Linked DNA regions of Arabidopsis thaliana. The protein of the gene in region 1 interacts with the protein of each later gene in a pairwise test. Each region holds a gene or a part of one and is shown in the gene's direction. Other genes may lie near its edges.

What was found.
Region 2: the proteins of CSP3 (region 1) and LOS2 interact in a two-hybrid assay, tested with the Arabidopsis thaliana proteins (one study listed by BioGRID).
Region 3: the proteins of CSP3 (region 1) and BBX13 interact in a two-hybrid assay, tested with the Arabidopsis thaliana proteins (one study listed by BioGRID).
Region 4: the proteins of CSP3 (region 1) and PRR7 interact in a two-hybrid assay, tested with the Arabidopsis thaliana proteins (one study listed by BioGRID).

What each region holds. Positions count from the first base shown.
Region 1 is NC_003071.7:7,761,925-7,768,819, reverse strand, and holds CSP3 (cold shock domain protein 3), read left to right. Parts: upstream 1-3,543; 5' UTR 3,544-3,638; coding exon 3,639-4,544; 3' UTR 4,545-5,292; downstream 5,293-6,895. Other genes in the region: AT2G17880 (Chaperone DnaJ-domain superfamily protein), read left to right, coding at 1,162-1,644; AT2G17860 (Pathogenesis-related thaumatin superfamily protein), read left to right, coding at 5,802-6,559, 6,736-6,742.
Region 2 is NC_003071.7:15,318,754-15,327,075, reverse strand, and holds LOS2 (Enolase), read left to right. Parts: upstream 1-2,946; 5' UTR 2,947-3,289; coding exon 3,290-3,355; exon of another isoform or gene 3,356-3,531; coding exon of another isoform or gene 3,532-3,564; intron 3,565-3,710; coding exon 3,711-3,839; intron 3,840-3,936; coding exon 3,937-3,984; intron 3,985-4,088; coding exon 4,089-4,175; intron 4,176-4,263; coding exon 4,264-4,344; intron 4,345-4,475; coding exon 4,476-4,658; intron 4,659-4,804; coding exon 4,805-4,942; intron 4,943-5,029; coding exon 5,030-5,107; intron 5,108-5,202; coding exon 5,203-5,397; intron 5,398-5,494; coding exon 5,495-5,686; intron 5,687-5,774; coding exon 5,775-5,831; intron 5,832-5,914; coding exon 5,915-5,995; 3' UTR 5,996-6,320; downstream 6,321-8,322. Other genes in the region: AT2G36540 (Haloacid dehalogenase-like hydrolase (HAD) superfamily protein), read right to left, coding at 627-781, 869-929, 1,020-1,180, 1,388-1,504, 1,584-1,839; AT2G36500 (CBS / octicosapeptide/Phox/Bemp1 (PB1) domains-containing protein), read right to left, coding at 6,993-8,322. UniProt on the Arabidopsis thaliana protein: Multifunctional enzyme that acts as an enolase involved in the metabolism and as a positive regulator of cold-responsive gene transcription. Binds to the cis-element the gene promoter of STZ/ZAT10, a zinc finger transcriptional repressor.
Region 3 is NC_003070.9:9,773,990-9,781,734, reverse strand, and holds BBX13 (B-box type zinc finger protein with CCT domain-containing protein), read left to right. Parts: upstream 1-3,691; 5' UTR 3,692-4,077; coding exon 4,078-4,863; intron 4,864-5,054; coding exon 5,055-5,222; intron 5,223-5,506; coding exon 5,507-5,751; intron 5,752-5,864; coding exon 5,865-5,967; 3' UTR 5,968-6,213; downstream 6,214-7,745. Other genes in the region: AT1G28060 (Pre-mRNA-splicing factor 3), read right to left, coding at 1-122, 699-853, 951-1,145, 1,228-1,605, 1,697-1,978, 2,092-2,568; AT1G28040 (RING/U-box superfamily protein), read left to right, coding at 6,825-7,311, 7,743-7,745.
Region 4 is NC_003076.8:636,309-645,518, reverse strand, and holds PRR7 (pseudo-response regulator 7), read left to right. Parts: upstream 1-3,492; 5' UTR 3,493-3,784; intron 3,785-4,039; 5' UTR 4,040-4,057; coding exon 4,058-4,367; intron 4,368-4,468; coding exon 4,469-4,630; exon of another isoform or gene 4,631-4,723; coding exon of another isoform or gene 4,724-4,763; coding exon 4,764-4,897; intron 4,898-5,068; coding exon 5,069-5,233; intron 5,234-5,525; coding exon 5,526-5,700; intron 5,701-5,798; coding exon 5,799-6,246; intron 6,247-6,343; coding exon 6,344-7,013; intron 7,014-7,116; coding exon 7,117-7,236; 3' UTR 7,237-7,838; downstream 7,839-9,210. Other genes in the region: AT5G02830 (Tetratricopeptide repeat (TPR)-like superfamily protein), read left to right, coding at 1-96, 207-417, 520-580, 760-1,061; RHL2 (Spo11/DNA topoisomerase VI, subunit A protein), read right to left, coding at 1,396-2,148, 2,331-2,861; CDL1 (Protein kinase superfamily protein), read left to right, coding at 8,145-8,253, 8,697-8,878, 8,964-9,153. UniProt on the Arabidopsis thaliana protein: Transcriptional repressor of CCA1 and LHY, and positive regulator of LWD1 and LWD2 expression. Represses the expression of other clock proteins and master regulators of plant growth, development and response to abiotic stress.

The sequences.
Region 1 (6,895 bases):
CTCTAAAATGCATAGAAAAGAATAAGATAAATATAATAAGAATATATAAATTTAAATATATGTATATATAGCGCTAGAAAATTAAAGTTTTAAATAAAATATCTGGTTTTCATTATTTAACACGATATGAAACAAATTTATATATAGATTTTAGACCGATGTCCCTAAATTGTAAAGTCCATATATTTTAGTTGATGGTTGAGGGGATCCTTCTCCCTTTTGATTACTAATCAGACTAATTGTTTGGTGGTTAGTGTAATTATTTGTAACACTAAACTTCTAAAAGCTAATTATGCAAGGCCTCTTGTTGTAACAATAAACAACCTTTAACAATAAAAATCTCAGAAGACACAAAAGAAAAAAAGAAGTCCATATATTTATTTAGTCCATATATTTCATACATATTGTATCATGATTCTATAGTGTCTGTTTACATTTTATGTATCTTTAAATTACACTGAATGGTTAAAAAGATACCGAATGGAAAATGAATGTATCTTTTTGGTATCAAAATATGAAACATCGTTGTCCTTTTAACTTTTCATATTTTTATTGATCTTTCCAACAGTATGGGTGATATTTCATATTAGTTAATAATAGTTACAACTTTAGTTAATAAGTAACTATCCGATTGAAACAAAGTAGATCAGTAATACAACTATATTTACCGATTTCTTCCGGATATTCGCTTAGGGATAACATTTAATCGAATGTTTTAAGTTTCATGAGTACCAAAACAAGAAAACAAATAATAACAATGTGAATAATAATGTTATCAAGTTTTGTTATATGATACCAAAAATAGAAAAATTTGGTAGATGACAATAATAACTTCATTGCCACTCTCAAGTTCGTTCGTTCGTTGAATCTTATCTCACTTCTCCCATTATTTACAACTGTGGATAAGCCTTTTAGTCTGACTCAGCTTTCTCAAGATCCGAAAACACACTGACCCAACCCGGTTCGATTTTGCTTAACCGGACAAGATACATTAATCTGCCTAATCTTCAATTATTTAAAAGCTAACTAAACGTTATACGTACTAATCACTTCTTCCCCTATAAATAAACCTTTCTAATTTCTCATCTCAAATCACACTGCATCACAAAACCCAAATCGGAACTTAAACCAAAAGACAAACAAAAACGCCGTCGTTTCACGATGCTTTCTTCTTCCCCAACCTTCTTCGCTACTCCATTTCTCTCTTCTTCTTCTTCTTCTTCTCCGTCGTTCTCTTCTACTTCACCACCGTCACGCATTTCCCGGATCTCGCCGTCGCTTTCTACAACCACCGCGTCCTACACCTGCGCCGAAGATCTACCGAGATTACGCCAAATCCCGCAGCGATTTTCAGCAACCGCGTCTCTCTACGAGATCCTTGAAATTCCCGTCGGCTCGACGAGTCAAGAGATCAAATCAGCTTACCGGCGACTAGCCAGGATCTGTCATCCCGATGTAGCGAGAAATAGTCGGGATAACTCGTCGGCGGACGATTTCATGAAGATCCACGCAGCGTATTGCACGCTTTCGGATCCCGAGAAACGCGCCGTTTATGATCGGAGGACTCTTCTTCGGAGCCGGCCGTTAACGGCTGGATACGGCAGTTACGGTGGACGGAATTGGGAAACCGATCAGTGCTGGTAGCGAGTTGACTCGATGTGTCGAGTTGGTCCAAAACCATTGAATTGGTTGTAATTAGAGCAAACCCAGAGATTCTGGGTGGTTGTGCCACGTAGGATCAACACGGTTTATCGTGCCACGTAGGATCTGTCGCGTTTTTAGCCTTTGTATCCATAAGTAGTAAGTAGTCTGTATTTAGTATTTACCATCTAATAAAGAAAATAAAAATTTATGTATAACTTAAAGTGTTCCAACTTAGCAATCAATAGTATGTAGCCTTGGAGAAACAGATTTTTTTTGTTACAGGTAAGATTTACATACTGAAATCATATAGCATTCTTAGAAAATTTTAGTTGTATTATGTTGTAGTCACCTAATTTAAAAAGCTGGGAGTGTTTTTTTTCTAGTCGCACAATCAGCCGACATCGACAATAAAAGAAAAGAAGATCTATGTCAAATAGTAACAAAAATACATAAATACATATATATGTAAAGATTTTAATACTGTTGCGGTGCGGTTTTGGGTGTGGTCTATGTTACCATTCATGGTCTTAGTCTATCGAAAGTTCGATAACGTTGTTTGCCTTGGTGGCAGTGAATTTTTTCCTGTCACGCGACTGTGAAAAGAGTAATTTTTAGAGACGTTACAATCGCATATCGTGAATTCCGATGTATGTGATATGTGTATGTGGAGGGTTACTGAGAGTTTTTTCTATGGGCGTTATAAACATTTTTAGTTTGAACGTTGTGCAATCAACTAGGTATGCATGCATGGGTTAATTTTATGATTCTAATTTTTTTGGGTAAAAGTTATATAAATAACGGTATTTCAAAGAGTTAACATTGGGTCAAATTTCTTGCTCAGAATTTCAGAGTTATACTAACATGACGTTTATGATGATAATAATTATAGTCAATTTAAATTGCCTTCACCAGGGCCACCAAAATAGCTAAGCAAATACGACAGACAAGGTTCTTTTCTTCTCGTCATCATAATCCATGTGTCACTCTTGTTTCAACATGCCATGTTCTGGAACATTTGCATCTCACGAATCTTTCATAATATTTACAAAAAAAAACTCATATTCTTTTCACATATATATAACTATTTTAAATGTGAACAAAAAAAAAGTAATTATAAATTCACTATTGTCATTAAAAGAAAAATAAATAAAAAAAGGAACTCTTGTCATTTTCTTAAGTATAGCATTGTCATGACAAAAGCTATGCTGTCCATAAACAATGGGAAGCAGAAGATTGTTGATGTTCGACACCATACATTATCAAAATATATAATATATATATATATATAATAGACGATAGATATCCAATAATTAGTTTAAGTAATTGGGATGTTCTTTTTTTCTTGCTTCTAGAAGAAAATATGATCGAATCATTTTTTTCTTCACAATTGAACTTCGGATAATATCATCCATGTATTGGTTCATTGAATTAAAAAAGTGAGCTGGGATATTGAAAATTTGGATGCAAAATAAGTTGCATAAAAATAGATATAATATCAAAATATAATATATTGTTTAGATAAAACAACCAAAAGTGTGAAACACTTTCTCTTCTAGTAGAAGTATAACATAATAATCTAAATCATGTCATATTTACTTTAGATTTACTATGAATATCCCTTTCTTTTTGCAAAAAGTGATAATTATAGACTGCATTTTCATCCAATTCCCAGAGTTTGGGGATGGTTAAGAGATGATAAAACATCTCAAGCATTTTTTTTAAAGTTAGTGTGAAATCAAACCTTATCAATTTTGCTTAGTTCTTTTGAAACTCTTACATAAATAGGCCCATTTCATTATGTGAACCATGGGCCTGATCCAAAATGCACACGTGGTAACTGCCGCCGATAGAGAAGGAGCTGACGTGGCGAATTTAAGGTCAATTTGGGGTTAATAGATCTAGCAAGTAGCAATTTAGGGTTTTCATTTTACCCATTTCCTCTCTTTGTACGAACAAAGTGCTTCGAGTTTTTGTTAACCTTTTTCTCTGATCTAATGGCGATGGAAGATCAATCGGCGGCGAGATCTATCGGAAAAGTTAGTTGGTTTAGCGATGGAAAAGGCTACGGTTTCATTACTCCCGATGATGGCGGCGAAGAGCTTTTTGTTCATCAATCCTCAATTGTCTCCGATGGATTCCGTAGCTTGACTCTTGGTGAATCGGTTGAATACGAAATCGCGCTTGGAAGCGACGGAAAGACTAAGGCCATTGAAGTTACTGCTCCCGGCGGCGGTTCACTTAATAAGAAGGAAAACAGCTCCCGTGGATCCGGAGGTAATTGTTTTAATTGCGGTGAGGTTGGTCATATGGCTAAGGATTGTGACGGTGGAAGTGGTGGGAAAAGCTTTGGAGGTGGTGGTGGTCGTAGATCTGGCGGCGAAGGTGAATGTTACATGTGTGGTGATGTGGGACACTTCGCTAGGGATTGTAGGCAAAGCGGTGGTGGAAACAGCGGCGGAGGAGGAGGAGGTGGTCGTCCGTGTTACAGTTGCGGTGAGGTTGGTCATTTGGCAAAGGATTGTCGTGGTGGTTCTGGTGGAAACAGATACGGAGGAGGTGGTGGTCGTGGATCTGGCGGTGATGGATGCTACATGTGTGGTGGTGTGGGACATTTCGCTAGGGATTGTAGGCAAAACGGCGGTGGAAACGTTGGAGGTGGTGGAAGCACTTGTTATACCTGTGGCGGAGTTGGCCACATTGCGAAAGTTTGCACCAGCAAGATACCTTCTGGTGGTGGTGGTGGTGGTCGTGCTTGTTACGAATGTGGAGGAACTGGCCATTTGGCTCGTGACTGTGATCGGAGAGGAAGTGGAAGCAGCGGAGGTGGCGGTGGCAGTAACAAGTGCTTCATCTGCGGCAAGGAAGGTCACTTTGCGAGGGAATGTACTTCGGTTGCTTAACAAAAAGATGCAAAGAAGAAGAGTAATGTTCATAAACCTCTTTTGTTTTCTATTAAAATCTACCTAATGCTCCTTTTTGGTGACTATAATGTGATTGCTAAAGTCGTTTAGGATGTTTAAGAATGGTTGTTTTGGGAGTTTTTGATCTCTCTATATTACTCTTTTGACTGGTTTATGCAACCTGTTCACTGCTTTTGTTGATGCCATAAGTTTGAGATCTTGAATGATATGTGTGCTTGCTTATTTACAGTTTCTTGTCTTTCCTTGCAATGAGTGTGATTGTATGACTTGAAAATTCAATCTGTTATGGTCACTTCTGTTATATACCAAGATTTGAGACTTTTTTTTACTAACTTGTAAATACAAAGAGATGAGTCACAAGTCTTTCTTGGTTCCTCTTTGTTGGAGAGCTTAAAGATTTTCCTGTAACTGGTTTACTTATACTCTGCATTGCTGTTTTTCTTGTTCTTGATGAAACAGAGATATTAGCTTAAGAATAATCTTTTGATATTTTAGATTACTTAGATCTTGTTTTAGGAGAATCTCCTGAACAGAGGAGAGACATGGTGTGCGTGATCTTGTAGTGCCTATGCCTGTTCGTCAGTTCGTGGTTTCTTTTTCTCTACTTACCGTGATGTTTTAAGAAGATGATGAAGTTAATCCCGTTAGTTTTTTTTAACCTAATTACACTTGTGATTAGCTGAATCTTTCGGATATAAACATTTGGATCCCACGTGTTCTGTTATTGGAAGTGACTTGATCTTTCTTAACATATACAAAGACAAGCTTCTAATGTCCAACACCTCCTTTATTTCCGTTAATACAAAATCCCACCAATTCCAGTACAATTAACTTACTACACAACACCATACATGTCTCTTTCCTATCAAAGTCTTTAAACTAAATAACTTTTTCCTTAACAAACAAAAGAGAGCTTTTTCCTCCTCTAACCTTTATCTAAATTTCTAGTTTTGAATTTAGGAAGAGATCCTCAACAAATAGTTATAAAAAAAAAATGTATAATTTTCGAAAAGGATAACAAGTATACTAGCTTGATTCGTAATTTCCATTTCACAAGTATTAATGAGAATATTGAAATAAAGGAAATGATGAGTGAACATGTATCGGATTCTGTAATGGCAAAACTCATATAGGGAAAATTGATATTATGAAACTTTCCATAACACAAATCCCCGATTCTCTTATATAAACACGATCCCTAACTTCTCCTGAATCATACAACATCAAACGGTAACAATGGATTTGGCTAAAGTCTCTTGCTTTCTCTTAGCGATTATGTTTTTCATCAATGGTGGTTCCTCCACCACGTTCACCATCGTTAACCAGTGTAACTACACCGTCTGGCCGGGACTTCTCTCCGGCGCCGGCACCGCTCCATTACCCACCACTGGTTTCTCCCTCAACTCCTTTGAGTCACGACTCATCTCCATACCCGCCGCTTGGTCCGGCCGCATATGGGGACGCACGCTCTGCAACCAAAACGAAATCACCGGAATATTCACTTGCGTCACCGGCGACTGCGGCTCATCCCAAATCGAATGCTCTGGCGCAGGAGCAATCCCTCCAGCTACACTAGCCGAATTCACACTCAACGGCGCCGAAAATCTAGATTTCTACGACGTTAGCCTCGTCGATGGTTACAACATCCCAATGACGATCGTTCCTTACGGCGGAGCTATCGGAGTCGGTAAGTGTAACGCAACGGGTTGCGCGGCGGATCTCAACGGCTTATGTCCGGAGCAGCTGAAAGTAACGGTTGAAGCGGCTGGAACGGGTGCTGTGGCGTGCAAGAGCGCTTGTGAGGCGTTTGGAACGCCGGAGTTTTGTTGTAACGGCGCGTTTGGAACGCCGGACACGTGTCAGCCGAGTGAGTACTCTGTTTTCTTTAAGAAAACTTGTCCGACGGCTTATAGTTACGCTTATGACGACGGCACAAGCACTTTTACTTGCTCCGGTGCTGATTACGTCATCACTTTCTGTCCTTCTCCTTCAAGGTAATATTTTTGCTACTGAATTTACTAAATAAGGAAAGTAATATTCGAAAAATGTTAATTTTAGTGTTTTTTGGTAATTTTAATGAATCTTAGATTATTCAAAATTCATATTTTGGAAGTTTTGTTAACTGTTTTATATATTTTTGTTGTTGTTGTTGTGTTTTGAATTAGTGAAGACTTTGAGAAGAGTGTGTCTCCGCCTCTGCAACCGGAAGCAGTTAGCGTCTCTGACGCGTCAAGTAGAATCTCAGTTGCGTTATCATTGGTCGTTTTGGCTGTTGCGGTTTCTTGGGTGTGGAGTGGACTTTGGTGATATTCAATACGGCACCGACCTTT
Region 2 (8,322 bases), 7.6 Mb from region 1:
TTGTTTTAAAATCAAAAGAAATCCTATTAAATGAAATCTCACTTGGCTCAGAAGAAGCTGAATGGAAAATTGTATTATATATTTTTCTGAAAAAAATGTCAAATAAGTAAACGAATTTGTTGACGAAAAAAATAGTAGAAGAATTTGTTTGCTATTTTTTCATATAAAAACATGGAAACCCATATACAGTTTAGCGTTATTCAAATTATTTTACAAATTTTAACAAATTACCAGTTAGATTAAATATATATTGGATCACCTAGCTTCATCATCTTGAGTTTGAAATTCCAAAGAACATCCTAAACTCCCACACAAACACCACATTTTGATACAAAAATTAGAACTAGTGATCTGAATTTTCAAATTTTGACACATAGAATAAGCATAATCAAATAATTGTTAATGAAAAATGGGTCCAAAAGAGAATATATAATCAACCATGACACAGTATAAAAATGGTTGATCGACATTGAACACGTACAGAAGAATTAACAAATGCTGAAGCACAAGTGATTCATCTTTCTTATTAGAATTGAAATAGGTAGACTTTTTAATGTGTTCATTACTAAGCAAAAGAAGATAATGATTGAGATACGAAGCTTAAACAAACTAATAATCATAAAAGATTAAGAGACAATCTTTGAAACGTTGCTGTAGAAAGACCAATCAGGATGAGAAGAATCGATCATGGGCCGTCCAAAAGAATGCACTTTTATGTAAGCCTGAACATCCGATGATTTTGCCAAACCTTCCAAGTAAGAACACAACTCTCCTTCCGGATCTAACAAAATAAAAGACCAATCACAAATAAACCAAAACGCATGTCTAAAGATAAGAAGTGAACAGCAGAAGTTTAAATTTTGCATACCAAGTAAATTATCCTTTATGTTAGAAGCATCATAGCTCATTGGGAACAGACCAGTATTGTCCTGAATGCAAATCAAGATAGATTAGAATTAGGATTAAGAACTACAAAGTTATCGATAAACAACACTATAATAGAGATTCGAGTGTTTTACAGGATTACGAAGAGCTTTATATGGTTCATCATCAATGAAGATGGTGTTTGAAGCAGAGAAGCCTTTAAAGCACTTGAACACTTTAGAGAGATCCTTAAAGAACAAAGGCTTGTAACGGTTCTCTAGTGTTTTATATCCACTGTCCGTACACTCTCTTGGTCCTACAATAAAAGAGTATTCGAAATTATATATACATAAATAGACACACATCTCTATACAATGAGAGTCTTACCCAAACAAAGAGAAGCTTGTCTTGGAGATTTTCAAGCACAATGCTTAAAACAATGTCAACATTTTTCCTATCAATCAAACACATGAAGAGTCAGATAAAAAGTACTATTTAAGCTTAAGAAATCAACAATATTAACCTGTAACTATAAGAATGTTTAGTGAAGAGACTAACTCGCAAGCAGAGGACCAAATACCAACTTCAAATCTCTCAAGACAAAACTTCATAAACTCTTCAGCAAACGGTCTCTTATACACTAAACAACAAAACAAACACAAATAAACTATAAATACAAAAAAGGTAGCAAAGTTAATAAAAGAATAATGAAACGTTACCAAGATTTGGCCCACAAGAAGCATCAGGAGAGCGGTTCTTGGGTTTCTTACGCAACTCTTTTTTGTGGACTCTGTGAAGAAGAAGACCACTTAGACTCAAGACCAAGAGTTTCTTTTTCTCCGTCTTAGGTTCTAGACTAAGTTTATCAAGAATCGAACTCAGTTCTGTCTGATCTGAAACTGTATCACCTCTTGAGTACTCATCGTCGCTGTCGTCCGCAGCAAGCAAGCTCTTCTTGATCTTTTCTTCAGCCATTGTATTGAATGAGATTGATCAAACTCATATGGTGCATATATATATATACTAGGTGAGTCATTTAAGGTGGTGACTAATGGCGATTTGGCTTCACGAGATCAAAACCATTTATTTGGCGTTTTTCTTCAAGCGGCTCTTTGGATACTCACAAATCTTTTTTGTACTTATCCTTAATTTCTCTCTTTTTTTTTTTTTTTTTTTTTTTTCCTGTATCCAACTTGGTAGTGTGAATCGACTTACAGCGACCAATCAGAAAATTCCACCTGTCAGCAGTTGTTATACATGGACAAAAGTCGATACATCAATTAATCGACGCTGATTTGTCGAGTTATATTTCCCGTTTACCATTTTGTTTTCTTGTTATGATTTGGGGAATCTCTCACGAATTCTATCAAAAGAAATAGCACTAAAGGCTCGGAGGAAGCCTGATGAAACATGGAAGATTGTGCTCTATTTTCTTCTGACAATTTTTACATAAGTAAAACGCATTTGTTTACTATTTTTTTCATATAAAACATGAAAAACTTATATTTGAATTAATCGAAATTAAAATTATTAACAGAAATATCTAAGTTTATATGAACCTTTTAACAAAAAAAAAAGTTTATAAGAACATAAAAATCATAATAGTTTAGCAACATTTAAATTATTTTCAAAAATTAGTAACTTAGATTAAAATAAATATTAGATCACCTCATAATCTTGAGTTTGAAACTCCAAAGTCCAAAGAGCATCCAAAAATCCGACGCAAACACCACATTTTGATAAGAATTATAGAACTAGTGATTTGCATTTTAAATGTTGATACATATAGAATAAGCATAATCAAACAATGATTACTGAAAAATATGGTCCATTAATATCGTATAAAAATGGTTGATGGACATTGAAACCCTAGTGGAGAATTTGTCACATAAGTAAGGCCCAAAGTTTTTGACCCACAAACATATCCATTAAGTTATAGTTTAGCGAAACCCCTTTAACAAAAAAGAAAATTTTCAACTAGTGAATTGTTTCTAGAGAGTTCTGTACAACCATCCAAATTTCAAACATGGTATAAAAGATGTTATTGACAAAATAAAAATGGAAACAGTGAAACGTATAGTCGGAAAATGGAATAAAATCTAGATGCCATATATTATTCTTACTTGTTCTAAAGTCTTTAATAAAAATAGTCGGTATTACTTGGACAAGGAGCAAAACAATATGGAAAAAACTCTTCTATTCTGCAAAAGGCGTGCAGCGCATCGTTTTGGCTTCTTGCATCAGAGCTGACTGTTCTCATCCAACGGCTGTTATTAAAACAATCCAACGGTTTTGGCTAAATCCGTGACGTCTTTATATATCGAACCAGACCACCAACCCATTTCCTCAGCTACTACTGTTGAAGCGATTCTCACTAAAACCCTCGAACACATCGCCTTTATCTCTTTCTCTAGATCTACTCGCTATGGCTACTATCACCGTTGTTAAGGCTAGACAGATCTTCGACAGTCGTGGTAATCCCACCGTTGAGGTTAGTTTCTCCGATCACTTTTGTATTTCCCAGTCACTTTCCGGCTTTGTACAGTATTCGTGACGGATCTGTTTGTTTGATGACTATCCGATGCTAAAACCACTATTCAATCGTTTTTTTGTAAACCTGAATTGATCTAGTAGTCGTACGTGAATGAGATTTGGTTTTTGTGAACGATGATCGGTGATTTGATCTCGGCGATTTGGATCGTGAGTTGTCGATGATGGAGTTGATTTTGTTTATATGATTTTTGCGACGGATCTATTTATTTCCATCTGGTTTTTACGATTTCGATTGTTTGCTAATGACGAATTTGAAAAGAAAGCTAATGATTTCTCTGATGATGTTGGTTTAGGTTGATATCCACACGTCAAATGGTATTAAGGTTACAGCAGCTGTTCCAAGTGGAGCTTCCACTGGTATCTATGAGGCTCTTGAGCTGAGGGATGGAGGATCTGACTACCTTGGAAAGGGTGTATCTAAGGTGAGAGACTGCGATCTGTTCTGTGTGTTTTTTTAGTGTTAGTAGAGTTATTTCAATTGATCATGTTGACTGATTCGTTATTTGTTTATATCACTAGGCTGTTGGCAATGTGAACAACATCATCGGGCCAGCACTTATTGGAAAGGTGAGTGACTCACTTTAAGCTACTCTCAGAACATCAAATTTGTGTCTAATTCTATGCGCTAGGCTCACTCATTTTATTTTTGTTGCTTTTATTATTTCTTGCAGGACCCAACTCAGCAGACTGCTATTGACAACTTCATGGTCCATGAACTTGACGGAACCCAAAACGAGTGGGGGTGGTGCAAGCAAAAGGTACTTAAAAGGGAAAATTCATTTTTTGTGTATTCACTTAAGAATAGAAGGCAAGTCTGACCATCTTGCGCCTTCTATCTGTGTTTAGCTTGGAGCCAATGCGATTCTTGCTGTGTCTCTTGCTGTCTGCAAAGCTGGGGCTGTTGTCAGCGGCATTCCTCTATACAAGGTAGAACGATCTGGCACTATTAAGTTGGTTCCCTCTGTCCATGGAAGATAAGATTGTTACTGCTTTGGCTACTTGGTTTTTTCGGTGATAAATGTTCTAAGCTTTTCCCTTTGTGTGGTATTTGGGTGCAGCACATTGCCAACCTTGCTGGTAACCCCAAGATTGTGCTACCAGTTCCTGCCTTCAACGTCATCAATGGTGGATCCCATGCCGGAAACAAGCTTGCTATGCAGGAGTTTATGATCCTCCCTGTTGGAGCTGCTTCTTTCAAGGAAGCCATGAAGATGGGTGTGGAAGTTTACCACCACTTGAAGGTAAATCTCCAATATTTTTTGGTCTTTGAGATGCTCTTCAATGAATATTCCATATACATGTATTACTTTTTCGCAGATGGTTCCTGTGAACTAACATGTATTACATGTTTATGGCTTAACCATCTTGTTCTCATATGTTTTTCCAGTCTGTGATTAAGAAGAAGTACGGCCAGGATGCCACAAATGTTGGTGATGAAGGTGGGTTTGCACCAAACATTCAGGAGAACAAGGAGGGTCTTGAATTGCTCAAGACTGCTATCGAGAAGGCTGGATACACTGGAAAGGTCTGTCTCTTATCTGATGTAATTTGGCTGTCCTTTTACCCGAAACATAATTCATGAAACTAATGGATCCCATTCAATTTTTTCCAGGTTGTCATTGGAATGGATGTTGCCGCTTCAGAGTTCTACTCAGAAGACAAGACCTACGACTTGAACTTCAAAGAAGAGGTGAAATTTCTTTTTCCTTAGTAACAGCTTGTCAGGATAGAGTGTGAGAAACCTGTTCTTAACTTGTAGCTGTTGCGCTCTTTGTTTCTCTGCAGAACAACAATGGCTCTCAGAAGATTTCTGGTGATGCTCTAAAGGACCTGTACAAGTCCTTTGTCGCTGAGTACCCAATCGTGTCCATTGAGGACCCATTTGACCAAGATGACTGGGAGCACTATGCTAAGATGACCACTGAGTGTGGAACCGAGGTTCAGATTGTCGGTGATGATTTGTTGGTCACTAACCCCAAGGTTTGTTTTTATTTGCCAGTGTTCTTACCAGTTTTTTTTTGTTGTCTGCCCTCTCTTAAAATGCTCACATCTCTCTTATACTCTTTTCTTATTCCAGAGAGTTGCTAAGGCAATCGCAGAGAAGTCTTGCAATGCTCTTCTTTTGAAGGTTAACCAAATCGGATCTGTAACCGAGAGTATCGAGGCAGTTAAGATGTCGAAGAAAGCAGGTTGGGGAGTGATGACCAGCCACAGAAGTGGTGAAACCGAGGACACATTCATTGCTGACTTAGCCGTTGGCTTGTCCACTGTAAGTTGAAACCATTGCAAGCATTTAACTAGCAATCTCATGCTATATCTTTTGTCGGACTCTCATTTGGATCTTTCTGTCTATACAGGGACAAATCAAAACCGGTGCTCCTTGCAGATCCGAGCGTCTTGCCAAGTACAACCAGGTTTAACATCTCAGACCACTAGTAAAGACTTTATGTTTGACAACCAGAGTACATTGTCTAATATGTGTCTTGTTTCTCAACAGCTTTTGCGTATTGAGGAGGAGTTGGGATCAGAGGCAATTTACGCTGGAGTCAACTTCCGCAAACCTGTGGAACCCTACTAAATGGAGCTTTTAGAAGCAAAGTGGTCTTCTTTGTGACGAGGAGAAGATGACCTGAGTTTGATCATTTGCTTTAATTAAATAAAACGTTCTGTTTTTGTTTCTTCTTTGTTTGGTTTCTTACGTCTTTTGTTGAACCCTTTTTGGGAAAAGTTACTCATTTTTGTAAGGGAAACATGAGAATGCTCTGCCTTTGTCGAGGACGGTAGCCCCTTATTTCAATCTAATTTCGGCTTTACTCTTTAATCTTCTCATGTGATTGTTATGATCTCTGGTGACATACGATGGAGTTTTAACAAAAATAAAATAAGTTCTTCATTATTATATTAAAATTGCAACTCTAGTAAAGGTTTTAAAATAGACCTGCTTGTGTTCATGACTACTATTATTCAACAAGAGTTCACACGTAAAAAAGGTGTGAACACTATCTGAAGATGACTAGAAAAACATTCATACAAAATTGTGTAGATAAATCATTTTCTTCTCGGTTTATCACTTTTATCGTTCACTTTCTGTTGAAATAAGCTTAATCAAGTGATGGTGAAGGACAAAAATTTCTTGAATTTGGGTTGTAGAATAATAACAAGTACTTGGTTTATTAACAGATATTCAATAAGCAGGTTTGCCCGAGTGGTTAAGGGGGAAGACTTAAGTTCTTCTGCACATAAGTGCGCGTGGGTTCGAACCCCACAGCCTGCATCTTTCTCTTTATTTTTTGAAATTTTCAATGCATGAAGTTTTTAGGAAAAAAGATTTTAGGAAAAATATGCAGGCTGTGGGGTTCGAACCCACGCGCACTTATGTGCAGAAGAACTTAAGTCTTCCCCCTTAACCACTCGGGCAAACCTGCCTTCTTGTCTATTGACTACTGAGAGAACAATCACAATTCTCAAACAGGAACAAGTATGTTTTGGTAACAAGTTTTATTATTGCTTTGCAATGTGAATCGAATAAAAAGACAAAGTAACAGTGTAATACAATTAAGTTCCCATTCAACATATCATTTCTTGGAACGTTTTAAGTAAACAAATAAACCTATGCTCGTTAGGACAATAGCACCAGCCAAGACGCCAGTCTGCCACCAAACACAACCGCCATTTCCCTCGGACAAATCTGCAATCGTCTCAAGAGGAGCAATTGTCTCGGTAAAATCAAGATGTAGTCGCAAAACCTTTTGCCCCAAAGACCTAGCAAAAGTTACAGCAGCAACAAGATCACTGTCCCTACTAATCAAAACTTTATCACCTTCATCATCTTGGTACATTATCTGAAGGCCTGAATCCGCTTCACATCTTTGCATCACAACACTCATCAGCTCTTCAAAACTCTCACCAGTTGAGTTAAACCGCTGTACTCTCCCTTTACGATCTTCGAATTTGAAAGCAAACGAGCTCACAAGTCCTTGTGATGGACACGACTGCTTCCCTTCTGAATTTATCAGCATTGCTGACATATCGCTGTGTGTTTCGTAATCCTCAGGTGGTTCTAACGCAAGAGCTGAGTCCCAGAACTTTTGCATCATTGTATTCGCCATATCGTTAACAGCTCCTGAGCTGTTGTTCTCAACCGTTGATATAGCTGCGTGAGTTATCTGCAGCACGTCTAAACAAGCTACGGCGAATCCGTCTTTATCGAAAACCGGCAGATGCAAGAACTTCCCATCATGCATTATATGCAATGCATCGAGGATTGTTGTCTCTATTGATGCACATTCAGGATTTGGCGTCATTACCTTTTCAACAAGAGTCAGCTCAGGAGATAGATTCTGTGCTACAACTCTCATGAGAATGTCCTTTGAAGTTAAAATCCCATGAATCTTGTTCCCAACCGCGATGATCACAGAGTTAACCCGCAAATCACGCATCTTTTTGGAAGCTACAAAGACAGGATCTGATGCTGATACAAGTGCAACTTTGGTATTCTCAGTGACTATAGTTGACAATGCAGGCTTGAACATCCTCTCTCTCAATGTATCAATGAAAGCGAAGTTTCCACTTCCCCAATGCCGTTCTTCCACTGCAGTAGCTAAAGCACTTCCTTGCTCTGCAGCTTTTTCCATCCGTGAGATAGCATCATAGAGACACTTTGTGATATCCAACAAAGCAATGACTTCACCATTCTCTACAACAGGCAAGTGCCTGAACTTTCCCTGAACCATCTTCTGAAGAGCCTCAATGGCAAGTGAATCAGATGTGACAAAAATGGGATTCCTTGTCATGACTTTAGACACCAGAGTATGCTCTGGTCTCAACCCTTCTGCAATCACCCTCGTGGCTATATCTTTGTCTGTAACAATACCGGAAAGAAGAGCGCTTGAATCAGTTAACAAA
Region 3 (7,745 bases), on another chromosome or scaffold:
GTGGCTCTATGGGACGAGGATGCTCAATGTAATGAGTAAGTTTTTCTATCTTCAGATGGCTTTCAGTAATGGTGCCATCAGTTATTTCGCCGTATTCGCCATTGGTGAGGACATTTGCATCCCTGAAACATAAAACAATTATGAACTAAGAAGACTCATCATGAACATATACCAAGAAAATAGACCAAAACGACAGAGCACAAAGCAGCTAGATTAACTATTTGGGCTGGCATTGAAAGGTACTAAGTAGATCATAATCATCAGTAGATTCATGTTACCATATTTTACTACCAATCACACCGTTGCTGATGACAAAACCATTGAACTTTCAGAAGTTGTATGTGGAAAACTAAAGCACATATGCGAACACTCAAAGAAATCAAAGAATTGAAATATTAATTGTATATATCCCACCTAAACGAAACTAGATAGTAATTCAAAAAACAAACAAACAACCCTAAACCAACATGAGCAACAAGAACACCAAACAAATTATATGAATGTCATCCGTAGCTGAGAGCAAACTAAAGTTATTGTTATGGTGATTCATCACAGTCATCAAATACTCCAATCGTTACAAGTTCAGTTTTTAAGTGCAGGATGACTTGTTTCCACCAAGGTTATGCCAAGTGAATGTCAAATCAGAAACAAAACAACTTAGCATTAACAGAAAGGGTAAGGTGAGAGAAATTACGTACCACCACTCAACATCTGGAATTGGCTCCTTGGGCTTCTCTTTTCTCGGGACACGTTCGGATACCTCTATCAAATTTGGATTTATATCATCGTTTGCCTTAGCCAGTTGTGCTTGCTTCACCTTCAGCTCCTTCGCTTTTGCTTCACCAAAATGACTCTATAAAGAAAAGACAGAAATACACACAATGAGACATCTAAAAGACCACCAAGAGAGAATATCGTCAAAAAGAATCCATACAAAAGACAATGCATACCTTAAACTTCAAATTTTCAGCATCTCTTGTCCATTTACCTTCCTCAACAAACTGGAAACTCATACGTTTAGGTCTCAGAATCTTTTTTTCATCAATACCCATCCTTGTGTCAAAATAGGGGTTTTCTTTTAGATCTGCTTCCAGTTGAGGTTTAAGAATCTGAAAAGCATCTTTCTTCTTTTTGTTTATGTTAACCTGTAAAATCCAAGTACTTTAGAAGCTCGATCATATAAAGAAAAACATGAAAACTTAAGATATTCAAATTAACATTGCTGACCTTCAATGTACTAAGATTGCTTGGTTTAGTCACACTAATCACATTTCCGTGTTCATCTATCTCCCTTCCTAGTGCATCCACGCGCAGAACAGGGGGCTTTTCCGGTCTCTGTGCAACAGTCATATCTGAGGGTGCCTGTCCTGGAAATAGGTTAATAACGGGAGCGAACTCTCGATCCTGATGAAATCCCATATTAGCTGCCAGCTCCTGGGCTCGCTTAACAGCTTCAATGTTGGCAATACTCCCAAAGCCAGCAAGGCCAGTATGTGGTAATGTTGAAGCAAAAGATGTGCCTGTAGAGACAGCAGGAGTGGTAGTCGATGGTGGCACTCTGGTATGTGGGCTACCTTCTGAAGTTGGCTTAGTAGCCTTCTTCAGCTGCACAGAGAATAAGAAAAGCAATTTATCAAATACAAAGTTTTCAGAGAAGAATGAACGCAAAAAAGTATAGAATATCTGTACATCTTACCAAAGGAAGGTTCTTCAATCTATCAGCCAATCCCTTTTGCAATTGTAGTGCTTTCCTAGCTTTCGCTGCTAACGCTGATGAATCAAGAGGCAAGTTTGCACTACTTTTCCCAGCTGTGGACAATGGTCTTCCATCTGTACTAGATTTTCCAGGAACCTCATGAGATCTGACAACACTAGCCTTATTTTCATCCGTTGTAGATATCGAAGATACCTTAGTGAGCAGTGTTTGACTAGGGGCAGCAGAAGCTTCCGATGGAATAGAACTATATGTAGAGGCTCCCTGCACAAAAAAAGAAAATGCAAGCATTAGCTAGCGAAGAAGACTAGAGGTAATCATGAACAAATCGCAAGTAGCAAACAAAGAAGATTAACGAAAAGGTATAAAGAACTCACCATCGTAACGCCACTGGTTGGATTCGTAGCCCCAGAACCCTCAGAGACTTGAGCATCTTTGTTCTCAACTTCAATAGCCACATCCTCAAACCTGCTCCTCCTCTCACCATTCCCATCAGCAAACCTAGATTTCTTCTTCCCATCCCTAGCCCCATTCTCTTCCTCTCTATCTTTCCTCTTGCTCCTCGATTCCTTCTCTTTACTACCTTCGTGAGACCTCTCATGGTGATGCTTTTCCCTATCTCTACTCCCTTCTCTCTCGCCTCGCTCTACAGATCTCCCTCTTCTATCCTTGGTCCTATCTCTCTCATCTTCCCTATCGCCGCGCCTCGATGAACGGTAGTGATCTGAATCACGACGCTTCGAATCAACATCGCGGTCACGGCGGCGTCCTCCTTCACGTTGTGGAGAATGGTCGGGACTCGAATCTCGATCACGATCGTCACGGTGGCTCCTGGAATATCTCTCCTTATCCATGGCAGAATTTAGGGTTTATTCCTAACAACAATTTGCTTCTGATTCGCCGGTCCTATAAATATACGAAAATTCACAACCGGAATAAACCAGCGATTCAGATTAGAACCAAAACGACCAGCGAAACCAAGTTCTGAATCAGATTTTTGTTCCTTCCGGAAAAATCCTAAAGGGAGCGAAACGATACCGGATCCGGAAGATATATAATCCAATCACCGGACTACAAGCTTCCCTTATGGGCTGAAGCCCATTTTTGAGTTCCTTCTTGAGATAGTTCTTCAATTTTGAGTCTAATGGGCTTTTATATCATCTTTTACTTAAAAAAAAAAAAATCGACGATTCATCTTCTATAGAGATATATGAAAATTCAAGCTATTTATCTTTAAAAAGAAAAATATTTGATGTCAGGTCGCAGTTTTCTTACAAGCAGAAATCCAAACTCTTCATACCAACTATTTTTGGAATAAACAAGATTTCTTTGCCAAGAGTTTTCATACCAACTATTTTTTGGATAAATAAGATTTCTTTGCCAAGAGATTTCCACAAGTTGACCACAAATTAAACATTCGATCAAAACTCAAGAATTCAAATATAGAAGTATATAACGCATATATTCCGCTTTGACTCAAAAAAGAAAAAACCCGCTCATATACTGTATTATGTATAGTCTGAATCACAAACTCTCTAACACGTGAAATTTAATGCGTTAGTCAAGAATCGTTCCGATTGTTACCACTCCCCAGGAACTTTTTCAAGATATTTATACCTCAGAATGATAGCACTTTACAAATAAGTTATACTTTTTTTCAAAACAAAAAAAAACAACTTATTGAAGTCTATGGACAAAAAGAAAATATCTAACATGAATCCTAAAATATCTTTACGATTTTAATTTTATCACATCTTTTGTCAAGAACTCGTGTGTAGCAGTTTATTATGCACATAAATATATGCTATACATTACGCTGCAATGTTCGTAAATACTAGTTCCAGAAAAAGACGATTCCAGCCGTTATTACACTGATCAAAAAGTTATTGCTATATACGGAAAGAATTAATCCCATAAAAATCATGTGCTTTGAACTAACTTTCCCTTTATACGTTAAAATAGATATTTAGGTGAAAAAGCAGATTAGATATTTTCTCTTAGATTCTCTGTCACAGTCAACGTAAGCTTCGCCGTCTGAACAATGGCGACTCTCTCAGCACGCTTTTACACCGTCAGATCTCAACATATCTCAATCTGAACAATCCATCATACACAAGTTCCATACATCGCAACACAGAAAAACAAATCCCTAACCCCAAACTGTTTACAATAATTAGCTTCGTTGTCTTCTTCATTCCAAAAGATTTGCAGATAATTTTGACAAAGCCCCCCAAAAAAAAAAAGAGTTCAAAATGAAAAACGTGAGAAATGGATTTGTCATCATTCTTCTCACCGTCCTTAGTCTCTGAAAATAAATTCTGATTTTGATTTCGAATTTTAGGGATTTTGAGAGAGAGTCAGTTATGAGTAGTTCGGAGAGAGTACCGTGCGATTTCTGCGGCGAGCGTACGGCGGTTTTGTTTTGTAGAGCCGATACGGCGAAGCTGTGTTTGCCTTGTGATCAGCAAGTTCACACGGCGAATCTGTTGTCGAGGAAGCACGTGCGATCTCAGATCTGCGATAATTGCGGTAACGAGCCAGTCTCTGTTCGGTGTTTCACCGATAATCTGATTTTGTGTCAGGAGTGTGATTGGGATGTTCACGGAAGTTGTTCAGTTTCCGATGCTCATGTTCGATCCGCCGTGGAAGGTTTTTCCGGTTGTCCATCGGCGTTGGAGCTTGCTGCTTTATGGGGACTTGATTTGGAGCAAGGGAGGAAAGATGAAGAGAATCAAGTTCCGATGATGGCGATGATGATGGATAATTTCGGGATGCAGTTGGATTCTTGGGTTTTGGGATCTAATGAATTGATTGTTCCCAGCGATACGACGTTTAAGAAGCGTGGATCTTGTGGATCTAGTTGTGGGAGGTATAAGCAGGTATTGTGTAAGCAGCTTGAGGAGTTGCTTAAGAGTGGTGTTGTCGGTGGTGATGGCGATGATGGTGATCGTGACCGTGATTGTGACCGTGAGGGTGCTTGTGATGGAGATGGAGATGGAGAAGCAGGAGAGGGGCTTATGGTTCCGGAGATGTCAGAGAGATTGAAATGGTCAAGAGATGTTGAGGAGATCAATGGTGGCGGAGGAGGAGGAGTTAACCAGCAGTGGAATGCTACTACTACTAATCCTAGTGGTGGCCAGAGTTCTCAGGTTTTGCTTATCTCTCTTTTGATTTTTTTGGCTAAGAACAGTTTAGTTTTTTCTGTTAATGAGCAAGTGAGATTAAGTGGTGAAATGTTTTTGTGTAAGGTCAAATATAGTCACTCTGTGTGGTTTTATGGTTTCTCAAGAAGATAAAAAAATGAAAGGTTTCTTAACCTGTGTTGTGAACTTGTATACAGATATGGGATTTTAACTTGGGACAGTCACGGGGACCTGAGGATACGAGTCGAGTGGAAGCTGCATATGTAGGGAAAGGTGCTGCTTCTTCATTCACAATCAACAATTTTGTTGACCATATGAATGAAACTTGTTCCACTAATGTGAAAGGTGTCAAAGAGATTAAAAAGGTAATAGTTCTCATTAACCTTAGTCATTTAAGTAGAGTAGTGTTTAAAACACAATACGTTGTCATCTCCCGTTCATCCTCAAAAATTGTTGTAGACAGTTGCTTCTTTTAGTGAATGATAGAATTCAGAACATGAAACCTAGTCAGAAAAAAGTTACAAGCTGGTTTGCTTTTCTTTGTTTTACCTCATCACCAAGCCACCAATTCTAACATTTTGGCTTATGATATATATTTGCTAGACTGCTATGCAACTTAACTGTGATGCTGATTAGGATTCTTTTGCAGGATGACTACAAGCGATCAACTTCAGGCCAGGTACAACCAACAAAATCTGAGAGCAACAATCGTCCAATTACCTTTGGCTCTGAGAAAGGTTCGAACTCCTCCAGTGACTTGCATTTCACAGAGCATATTGCTGGAACTAGTTGTAAGACCACAAGACTAGTTGCAACTAAGGCTGATCTGGAGCGGCTGGCTCAGAACAGAGGAGATGCAATGCAGCGTTACAAGGAAAAGAGGAAGACACGGAGGTAAATGCTGCTTTTTTCTTTCCCCTTTAATAATTTTTTATTGCCCATCTCCCTTAAAGAATCTGATACCATATTTCGTTTCTCCCTTTGTCTTGGATCTCGGGTGCCAACAGATATGATAAGACCATAAGGTATGAATCGAGGAAGGCAAGAGCTGACACTAGGTTGCGTGTCAGAGGCAGATTTGTGAAAGCTAGTGAAGCTCCTTACCCTTAACCTTAAGTCTCTTCACATAGGCTTCCTTTTAGCTACAAACTTAGTTACTTTTTTTACTTCCACTGCCTCATAAATGTACAGACCGGTCTCGTTTCATCTGGCCGCCCTTCTGTTTTATTGCCTTATCTGGCCCTTTTATGTACCTTGGAATCTTATCTAGTTTAAAAAAGATTGTAACCTTCTAGAAAACCATATTCTGTTGACAGTATATACATGTCTATCCAAGCATTTTGAAGTCTCACAAGCTAATACGCCTTGATACTCTTTGTTTTAAAAACCCTGACTTATGGCTGTTAATCAAAGTTTTCCAAGTCCAGTTCGCAGATGGCGAGCGGATCTGCGGCTGTGGTTCTTCGTTGCTGTTTCTTTGGTGGTTCTGGCTGTGTTGGCCAATTCAGAAGGTATAAATCTCCCTACTTAAAGAGTTACTCACAGGCGAAATTCCACAATCAGTTTATTCTAGTGTATAATACATGTAGTGGATGTTGTATAATGTTTATGCTTGAATGTCATATAGCTCTGCAGACGTGGGATCCGATGCAGGTGACAATTCTTCTTAAAAGACAACTAATTCTCTGACTTTCCTCTTAGTGACTATAAGAATAGACCAATTCTCTATTAAATTTTTCGTTTAACAATTCCCTCAATCAAGAATTCTCTTCTCTGTATTTCTCCTCTCCATCTTTATCTTACCTCTCCGAAACGCCTTGAACCCTCAAAAATGTCCTTCATCCTACTCGGATTCATATCTTAATAAATGTGAACCACTTGGAATCCCCATTCGTTTTCCTTTCTGCGGCAATCCAGGATTCAATCTCCACTGCAACAACCTCGATAAGACAGTCCTAGAGCTTCCTATGTCCGGAACATTTCTTGTCGATGAAATCAACTACCAAAAGCAGCAGATTTCTATCAGCGACCCTGAAAACTGTATGGTTAAAAGGCTTTTAACCTTCAATACTTCAGGATCTCCTTTCTCTTATGGCTTCAGTTTCTACTACACGTTCTTGACCTGTCCGAATGAGGTCGTGATACCGGTTTGGTCTCTGATGTCCATCCCTTGCCTAAGCAATTCTACCTCCTCCTTCTTCGCCACGTCTAATTTGACTTTTTCAAAATTGTTGCCGCCTTCTTGTCAGATTGTGAAAGGACTATACGTTCCTGTTGATGTGATATATAAAGATGTGATAACTGAAGAAAAAGGGTTCTCTACAGTGCCCTGGCTTGGAAACGTCTTGTTGGAATGGAGCTCGCCGAATTGCAGAGGTTGTGAAAAGGAGTCCTTGAGATGTGGTTTCAAGAACAAGGCCTCCCTCGAAGTCAAATACTTGGCTGATCCACCCGGTATGATCTTTATTGTTTTAACTTCTTCTTCTTCTTCTTCTTCTTCACTTATAAGTTATAATCGAAGAAAACTCCATTATTGGTAAGGCTGAAGAAGTTTTGGTAGAAAACTTCAAATCCAGGTTCTTTTAGGTTTAGATTAATCAAGAAGTTTTTTACAAAGAGAAATCCTAGTAGGAATTAAATATGGAAATTATGAATTGACTAATTAGTTTTTTATGGTCGAAGATTAGTTATAATTTAACCAACCGAAGTATTCTCAATTTCTAATTCCCCACGCTAGCTAGCGATCGCTAGAATACTTAACGCATATTTTTTGTTTTTATTAAACTGACATTTGTTGAAATAAGCAAATATCAAACAAAAATCGTAATCAATTAATTTCTCTACTTCGACTGTTTAAAACACATTCTTGATATGTTATCCGGCAGATG
Region 4 (9,210 bases), on another chromosome or scaffold:
GACATATAATACACTTCTTAAAGCACGAAGCAAATATGGTTCTTTACTTGAAGTGCGGCAATGCTTGGCTATATATCAGGACATGCGAAATGCAGGGTATGAACAATTTTTACTTTTATGGTCTACTTTCATTTCTCTTCCTGATGGTTCCGCAACAAGTAAGGAGGCATTCCTTTTTACTCACAAACAAAGCCACAACACTGCAGGTACAAACCTAACGATCACTTTCTCAAGGAACTTATTGAGGAGTGGTGCGAAGGAGTCATACAGGAAAACGGTCAGAGCCAAGATAAAATAAGCGACCAAGAAGGAGATAACGCAGGGAGACCTGTAAGCCTACTCATTGAAAAAGTAGCTACACACATGCAAGAGAGAACAGCTGGAAACCTTGCAATTGACCTTCAAGGACTTACCAAGGTAAGTTACTGGAGACAATGAAATATTCATATGTGCTTGTAGTCCTATCAATTTAACTCTTTCAGCGATATGACCATGTCAAACTTTTGCATCCATTTACAGATTGAGGCTCGACTTGTTGTTCTAGCAGTTTTGCGAATGATCAAGGAAGACTATATGCGAGGTAAGATTCAAGACACCAATACATTCTCTCTCTCATGTAGTAACTTTTTGACTCGGTAAACATTTCAAACGGGAACAGCATACATGCAGCTTAAGTTAGGACAAAAAAATCAAATGTTGTTGAATTTTATGCCAGTAGAGACTAAAAAACACTTGTAACTAACTGAATCTCCTTTGCAGGTGACGTTGTAATAGATGATGTGTTGATTATCATAGGAACCGATGAAGCAAATACCGTTTCAGGAAAGCAAGAGATTACTGTGCAAGAAGCGCTAGTGAAGCTTCTACGAGATGAATTGTCTCTTGTGGTTCTTCCTGCTGGACAAAGAAATATCATACAGGATGCACACTGTGTAGATGATGCAGACCAAGAGAACACTAAGTCATTTGTTAGTATATCCTCAACGAGGAGACCTGCGATTCTGGAGAGGTTGATGGTTACAAAGGCGTCTCTGTATCAGTGGTTGCAGCGCAGAAAGTAGCTGCCTCCGACTGTTACATTACTAATCAGTCATCATTGTATTTTATGCTAATTCAAACCATATGCAGAAAAGAATGGGGAAAGATTGCATATCATCTCAATGCCCATCATATTGTATACAATCTTCTAAATAAACAAAAGAGTTGTCTTCTAAATAATCATCTGACAGCTATCTTTCCAGTTCTGTGTAGATTCAACCATAAATTTAAAACCAAATTTCGATCTTTGCAATAATAATTCACATGCTAAGAAACAGGCAATTGCATTATCAAAAATTCGAAATTTGTAGAGTACACTTGTTGGTCTATCTAATTGATCAGGAAGAAACCTGATTATCAGAGCCAATCCTGCTGCTGCAGTTTCAGGGGCAAGTAAACTTCCGATAAATACTGGAAACCAAAAGAGCTCAACGCCTGAATCTCAGCCTTTTGCTTCGTTTTCACCATCAGGTTAAGTTCCTCGACCCACCCGGGATTTTTCTTCACGAAATCCTCCTCTAGCATATCCTTCCCGGTCTTAATATCCTGCTCAGTCATCGGCAACCTACACTGTTCAGGTATCTTATACTTGTCCAAATCACTCGGCCTAATTCCAAGCCACTTAATATCAGGCGTAGTCAAGTTTGCACTATCATATGACATGTTCTTCGACCCACATCCATACACCGACAAGATCTTCAATCCGTAAGGATCACTATCCACCAAGGCAAGTACCGGAAGCTTAAGCTCCATTTTCATTTTCCTCAAGAAGAGCCTTGTAGCTACATCAGGCTGGCCTTTTGCAGTCACGATGATACAAGGGAACCGGTTATAGAATCTGTCTTCAGCTAACCTCATATAAGCTGCATCTTTTTCAACTAAGAGTATGAACATAGCATCACTCTGCATATCTCCAACCCGGTCAATGTTTGGTGGAATGGCTTTCCCACCCATTCCCATCTTTGTGCAATCTATCATGTCTCCATTGTCACTGAATATAAGCCTTCCCACCACCACACCTTTCTCTGCTGCAATGACATTGAGACTTGACCTTGTGCAACCGAGCATACATGAGACATCATCCAACACAGCATCACTCTGTGTCTGGTCCTGAAAATTCAGTAAGGTTGCGAATTGGTTCAAAAACCTTCCAAAATCGAAACTACAAAGAATCAATGCTAGAACTTTCGATTCAGGTTTACAAGAGCTGGATCTAAAACAGTGACTATCATTCTCTATTTAATGGGAAGAAAGTATCATCTCAAGTAAAATTGAAAGCAAGAAGAACCTACCTGGAAAAGCTTAACGTCGGTGTAGAAGAGATCACGCTTAGTAACGTGAATGTTCCTGAGGCAGAGTTGGTGGATAAGGGCGAGGATACGAGTGGTGATGGTGGTTTTCCTGACAGAAGAAACGGAGGCAAATGGACGGAGGGTAGATTTGTCTTTTAGCACTATACGGTCGAGCTCAGGAACATACAGCTGATTCGAGGCGGCGCGTGAAGGAACACTGAAGGAGAAGCCATCACCGGCGAGAATAGAACGGGCGATCTGGACGATGACTGTCTCTATCTCTGTCTGCACGGAGGAGAGTGAGAGATCTGCGACTTCACGACAGGAAGATGATAGAGAGAGGTCAGCTAGGGTTAGAGGTTTCGATGAAGAGGAGGAGGCACCGCCGGCTCCGGCGGCGGCTTTGATAGAAGAGGAAATATACGATTTGAGAAGCTCCGTGATAACGTCGTCTGATTCCAGAATGCTTTTGAAAGGAAGTTCCTCCGCCTCGTCATCTTTTGATCGCTTTCGCTTCTTCTTATCCGCCATCTGTAGATAGCCACGACGACGGAGACGCGGCGGCCCAGAGAGTTCTGGTACTAACAATGGCGGGAAAATTTACCCTTTAGGTCAACGTATCTCGTGAATGTTATTTCTAGGGTAAACTAAAGGGGTAGACTTAGAAACGCATTTATTAAGTTAATTAATTGTGCTTTTAACGAGATGTCGATATGTCCGAGTGGTTAAGGAGATAGACTTGAAATCTATTGGGCTTCGCCCGCGCAGGTTCGAACCCTGCTGTCGACGATAGTTTTTTGAATATTTTTTATTGGGTTAAAATCTTTTTGAATGGCCCATATGGTAAGCCCAATATTAACTACATCTATAAAATCTTTAAACGCTAGTCTCTTCCGCCAAAATCTATTCAACGGTCCAGATGAGTTTACCACTTGACGTTTTCCTTACCCACCATTACACGTGTCAGTTCAAAAAGATCTTAATAATCTGCCACTAGCCTCCTGAACGACTGTTTTTGATATACCATCCACGTCACTAATCCTCGCCAATATATGATGTGGAAATATCCGCTCTGACGTGGAACTTCTCGAACGTTCGGGACCTCTAGTTTTGTCCATGTCAGATATTACGATTTTTTAATTTCCTTTTTTTTTTTGTTGGCCCGAGACAAATCTTTCTAATATCTATCTATCTCCGGAAAAATAAAAATCGGTGGCTTATGGTCGTCTCCGATTTCCACTCTCTGGGAGACAGAAAAACCTCATAATCTCAAAAATTGTTCACTGTGTTTATCTTCCTTCTAAAGTTCTAAGAAGCTTCGATTCTTAATTCTGTTTATCGATTTGAATTCCTTGTTTCTATTTCCCAACCGTTAGCTGATTGTGCTAGATCCATTTTTCTGGTGATTGATGCAACTTCTGGAGCTCGATTCTTCGTTCTAGTATTTGATTATTGTAAGATCAGTACTCTCTTGGAATTTAGATGCTTTTGTATGGTTGGATTTTTATTTGATGTAATTTGTCTAGATTCGATTTTTTGATGATTCTTCAAAAAGTTACTTGATTAGTTGGTTTTTTGAGAATTCGTCGTTCTTCAACTCTTTTTTCTGTTAATCTGAGATATTGTACGATTCTAACTCCTCTAGCTATTGCAATAATCGAAATTAGGGTTTATGGCTGTGTTTTGATATTTTGATCATTTGAATTCAGCGAAGCAGAGTTGGTGTGATGAATGCTAATGAGGAGGGGGAGGGTTCACGTTACCCAATCACTGATCGAAAGACCGGAGAGACGAAATTCGATAGGGTTGAGAGTCGGACAGAGAAGCATAGTGAAGAAGAGAAAACTAATGGAATTACTATGGATGTGAGAAATGGGAGTTCAGGTGGACTGCAAATTCCATTGTCGCAACAAACAGCGGCAACTGTCTGTTGGGAAAGGTTTCTTCATGTGAGAACCATTAGAGTTCTGCTTGTCGAAAATGACGACTGCACTCGTTATATCGTTACTGCACTTCTTCGCAATTGTAGCTATGAAGGTCAGTTTTGAAGCCTATGGCCCAACTTTAATCTATAGCGCATATATGTACCCGTTTCGGTTCTGTTTGTTGATTGATTATTATTAACTCTGTCATGGCAGTTGTTGAGGCGTCAAATGGGATACAAGCTTGGAAGGTGTTAGAAGATCTAAACAATCATATTGATATTGTGCTAACAGAGGTGATCATGCCTTACTTATCTGGTATCGGTCTCTTGTGCAAGATTTTGAACCACAAATCTCGTCGGAACATCCCTGTCATCAGTGAGTTCTTTTTCCTTGGTCGTTTTACATTGAGCTCTTTCTTTTGAAGTTACACGATTTGTTGAGTCTTCTCTAGCGTATGTTGGAAAGTAGATGCTTTTAACTACATTCCCCTGTGAGATTTGTGTTGCAGTGATGTCATCTCATGACTCAATGGGGCTGGTCTTTAAGTGCTTATCGAAAGGAGCTGTTGACTTTCTTGTTAAGCCAATAAGAAAAAATGAGCTTAAGATCCTTTGGCAGCATGTTTGGAGAAGATGCCAAAGTGTATGTCCTTGCTCATATATGATTAATCTGAAAACCTGTTGGTACAACTGGTGATAAGTAGTAAACTAGAAATTCATGGTCTAATTGTGGATTGGTATCTTCTTTTTTTTTTTCCACATGATTGGTATCTTACTTTTTGGTTTCTCATGGTTTTCCTTGTTTCTTGTTCAGTCTAGTGGTAGTGGAAGTGAGAGCGGAACGCATCAAACTCAAAAGTCTGTGAAATCGAAAAGTATTAAAAAATCTGATCAAGATTCAGGAAGCAGTGATGAGAATGAAAATGGGAGCATTGGCCTGAATGCTAGTGATGGAAGTAGTGATGGGAGTGGCGCTCAGGTAAGACGAATGTGCAATACCGATAATCTAAATATACACCCGAGAAGCTATCCTTTTAAAAATTTCTTAACCACAAATGATAGGGGTCGGATGATCGAACTTCGCATGTGCACTCAGATGCTTATAAATGGTGGAAGCGCTTAACTAACCAATTGTAGAACTCAATGATGTTTAACTTAGATCTATTCAGTGATAAACTGGGTGAAAATTTCTAGTTCATTTTGAAGTTTTATTTTGCACATGGTTTATCTCCAAAACCTAGGTTGATTTTGACATACCTTTTTTTGTTCAGAGCTCTTGGACGAAAAAAGCTGTGGATGTTGATGACAGTCCACGAGCGGTATCTCTATGGGACCGAGTTGATAGCACTTGCGCCCAAGTGGTACATTCTAACCCTGAGTTTCCAAGTAATCAGTTGGTTGCACCACCTGCTGAGAAGGAGACTCAAGAACATGATGATAAATTTGGTAAAGAAAGGAAACTGTGATCTCTTAGTTTCTTCCATACTCTTCTTTATACTGAAACTCAAAAACATGATATTGAATGTTTTTCATCTATTTTGCAGAAGATGTCACAATGGGTAGAGACTTGGAGATTAGCATTCGTAGAAACTGTGATCTGGCCCTGGAGCCAAAAGATGAACCCCTATCTAAAACTACTGGCATTATGAGACAGGATAATTCGTTTGAAAAGAGCTCTAGTAAATGGAAAATGAAAGTTGGAAAAGGACCATTGGACCTCAGTAGCGAAAGTCCTTCAAGTAAACAAATGCATGAAGATGGAGGCTCGAGTTTCAAAGCTATGTCTAGCCACCTTCAAGATAACAGAGAACCTGAGGCGCCTAACACTCACTTGAAAACTTTAGATACAAATGAAGCTTCTGTTAAAATTTCTGAAGAGCTAATGCACGTGGAACATAGTTCAAAGAGGCATAGAGGAACTAAAGATGATGGGACACTAGTTAGGGATGATCGGAATGTGCTGAGGCGTTCAGAGGGCTCAGCTTTCTCAAGGTACTTTCTTAGAATCAAACCTCTGTTTTTTCTTCCGTACACAACCTTTTGAATGCCTTATTGAAGAACTATGAGATCGACTGTTGGACTTGTGCAGGTATAATCCAGCCTCAAATGCCAATAAGATTTCTGGTGGGAACTTAGGAAGCACTTCGCTTCAGGATAATAATAGTCAGGATCTTATAAAAAAGACTGAAGCAGCATATGATTGTCACTCGAACATGAATGAGAGTCTCCCCCATAATCATCGCTCACATGTCGGTAGCAATAACTTTGATATGAGTTCCACGACTGAGAACAACGCTTTCACAAAACCAGGAGCTCCAAAAGTAAGCTCAGCAGGATCTTCATCAGTGAAGCATTCATCGTTTCAGCCTTTACCCTGTGATCATCATAATAATCATGCCTCCTATAACCTTGTCCATGTCGCTGAGAGGAAGAAGCTACCGCCACAATGTGGATCCTCAAATGTGTACAACGAAACGATTGAAGGTAACAACAACACAGTGAATTACAGTGTGAATGGAAGTGTATCAGGTAGTGGTCATGGAAGTAATGGGCCATATGGAAGCAGTAACGGTATGAATGCTGGAGGAATGAATATGGGAAGTGATAATGGTGCTGGCAAAAATGGAAATGGCGATGGTAGTGGAAGCGGAAGTGGAAGTGGTAGCGGAAACTTGGCGGATGAAAATAAGATCTCTCAAAGGGAAGCTGCTTTGACAAAGTTCCGTCAGAAGAGAAAAGAGAGGTGCTTCCGAAAGAAGGTAAATTCTCGGTCAAATCTATAACAAAGGAAAAAAAAAGTATTCTTGTAAATTGCGAAAGCAAATGCAAACCGCAAAAATGTTTTTTTTTTGGCTTTCTCAGGTACGATACCAAAGCCGGAAAAAACTAGCAGAACAACGCCCTCGAGTGCGAGGCCAATTTGTGCGTAAAACAGCCGCTGCAACTGATGATAACGACATAAAAAACATTGAGGATAGCTAACGGAAAATCAACAAAACCCACTATTTCTCAGCCCAAAAACATGAGTAATGTGCTCATATCTATCTTATATATATATATCTATCACATGTTTTAACATTTTCCCTTCAAAGTCTGATTCTTTGATAATACTACTACTATTCACGAAACAAAGACACTACGACATTTGATTGTTTGTTATTATTGTCGTTGTCTGGTCTGGTTTGTGAAATTAGGACGAAGGGTTTGGTTTCAGGATGTAGTGAAATCTTTGTAGATGTTGTAAACTTGTAAAACAATAACCCCTTCTCTGTATATTTTTTGGTATAAGCTTGCTTTTGGAGCCGTGCATAGTACGGTGTCGTATTGTATCAACATTATCTCTTTCAATATCATTTAGCTTATATCGTAAATATATATATTCTTAGAAAAAATCTGTCTTTGATAAACACCATTTTAAAATAGGAATAATCAATCTCTTATACCCAAATGATTGGAAACTATAATGGTGACCACGATTGTTGCTTATTAAAGTTCAATTTCAATATTGTTACAACTTACAACACAAGAAATTTATTCAATCAAATAATCTCTTTTTGTGTGTTGAAAAGAAATTTAAATTCCATGGGGGTAGTTAGTTGATACTACTTTGATAAAATATAATTTTTGTTTGTCTTTTTTTCTTTGACAATTAATTTTTATTTGTCAAAGTCAAACCCATTCACATTAATTTGTATCACAAAAATTAAATTGTTTTAAAAATATATTTTATATCAAAAGAGAAAAATCGAAAAATCCAGCGATTGGCTTGGCGTGCTTTTTTTACATTTCAAAGTTCTCTAAGCTTCTCTCTCTCTCTCTCGCTTTTGAGATCATCGAACACAATCGAAACGAAGAATCATTTGAAGAAGAAGAAGATCGTGAGAAGCTTAATGGGTTGGATCCCGTGTTCTGGGAAATCGAGTGGGAGGAATAAGACAAGGAGGAACGGTGACCACAAACTCGACAGGAAGTCTTCTGATTGTTCTGTGTCTACTTCAGGTAATTTCTCTTTATAGTCTTTGTCCAATTTTAATTCTGGGTTTAACCTTCTCTTACTAAATTATGGAAATTTTTATCCTTTGCTAAAACTTTCTGATTCCTGTGAGCCATCATCGTTTGCTAATGCTGATTAGGGTTTTTGACTTTCTGTTTAAAGATTGCTTTTTTCCTTCCATTTCACTAGCTTTTGACTACTCTGTAACACCTGTGTTAGTATTTTGACAGTGATGTGTTATTGCATGTCTCTTTCCTGTTAATTGTTGTTATTGCTCTCCAGTGGAAGTTGTGGATTAAACTCTTAAATGGGACTTGCTAGATCCTTAAGTATCTTGCTATATTCTTAGAACTTTAATTTGTTGATTATTGACCTTGAGACAATTATGCTCAGCTTGTGTTGATTAATTATTTCTTCTTATCGCTTTCTTTTCTTTCTTTTTTTGTAGAGAAATCTAGGGCCAAGTCGTCCTTGAGTGAATCCAAAAGTAAAGGCTCTGATCACATTGTGGCACAAACGTTTACATTCTCTGAGTTAGCTACTGCCACTAGAAACTTCAGAAAAGAATGTCTTATAGGAGAAGGAGGATTTGGTAGAGTTTACAAAGGATACTTGGCCAGCACTAGCCAGGTTCCTTCCCTTTTTTTTGCTTGGTTTTAACCTTTTGAATCTTCTTGGTAGTGAAAGCTCACTGTCATTATATCTTCATTTGTAGACAGCGGCTATCAAGCAACTTGATCATAATGGTTTACAAGGAAACAGGGAGTTCCTCGTCGAGGTTCTCATGTTGAGTCTTCTTCATCACCCGAATCTTGTTAACTTAATAGGATATTGTGCTGATGGAGATCAAAGGCTTCTAGTCTACGAGTACATGCCCCTAGGTTCACTTGAAGATCATTTGCACGGTATGCGCTTCTAAGATCACACATGCCTATGAGAAGTCTTTAAATTTCAATCGGGTG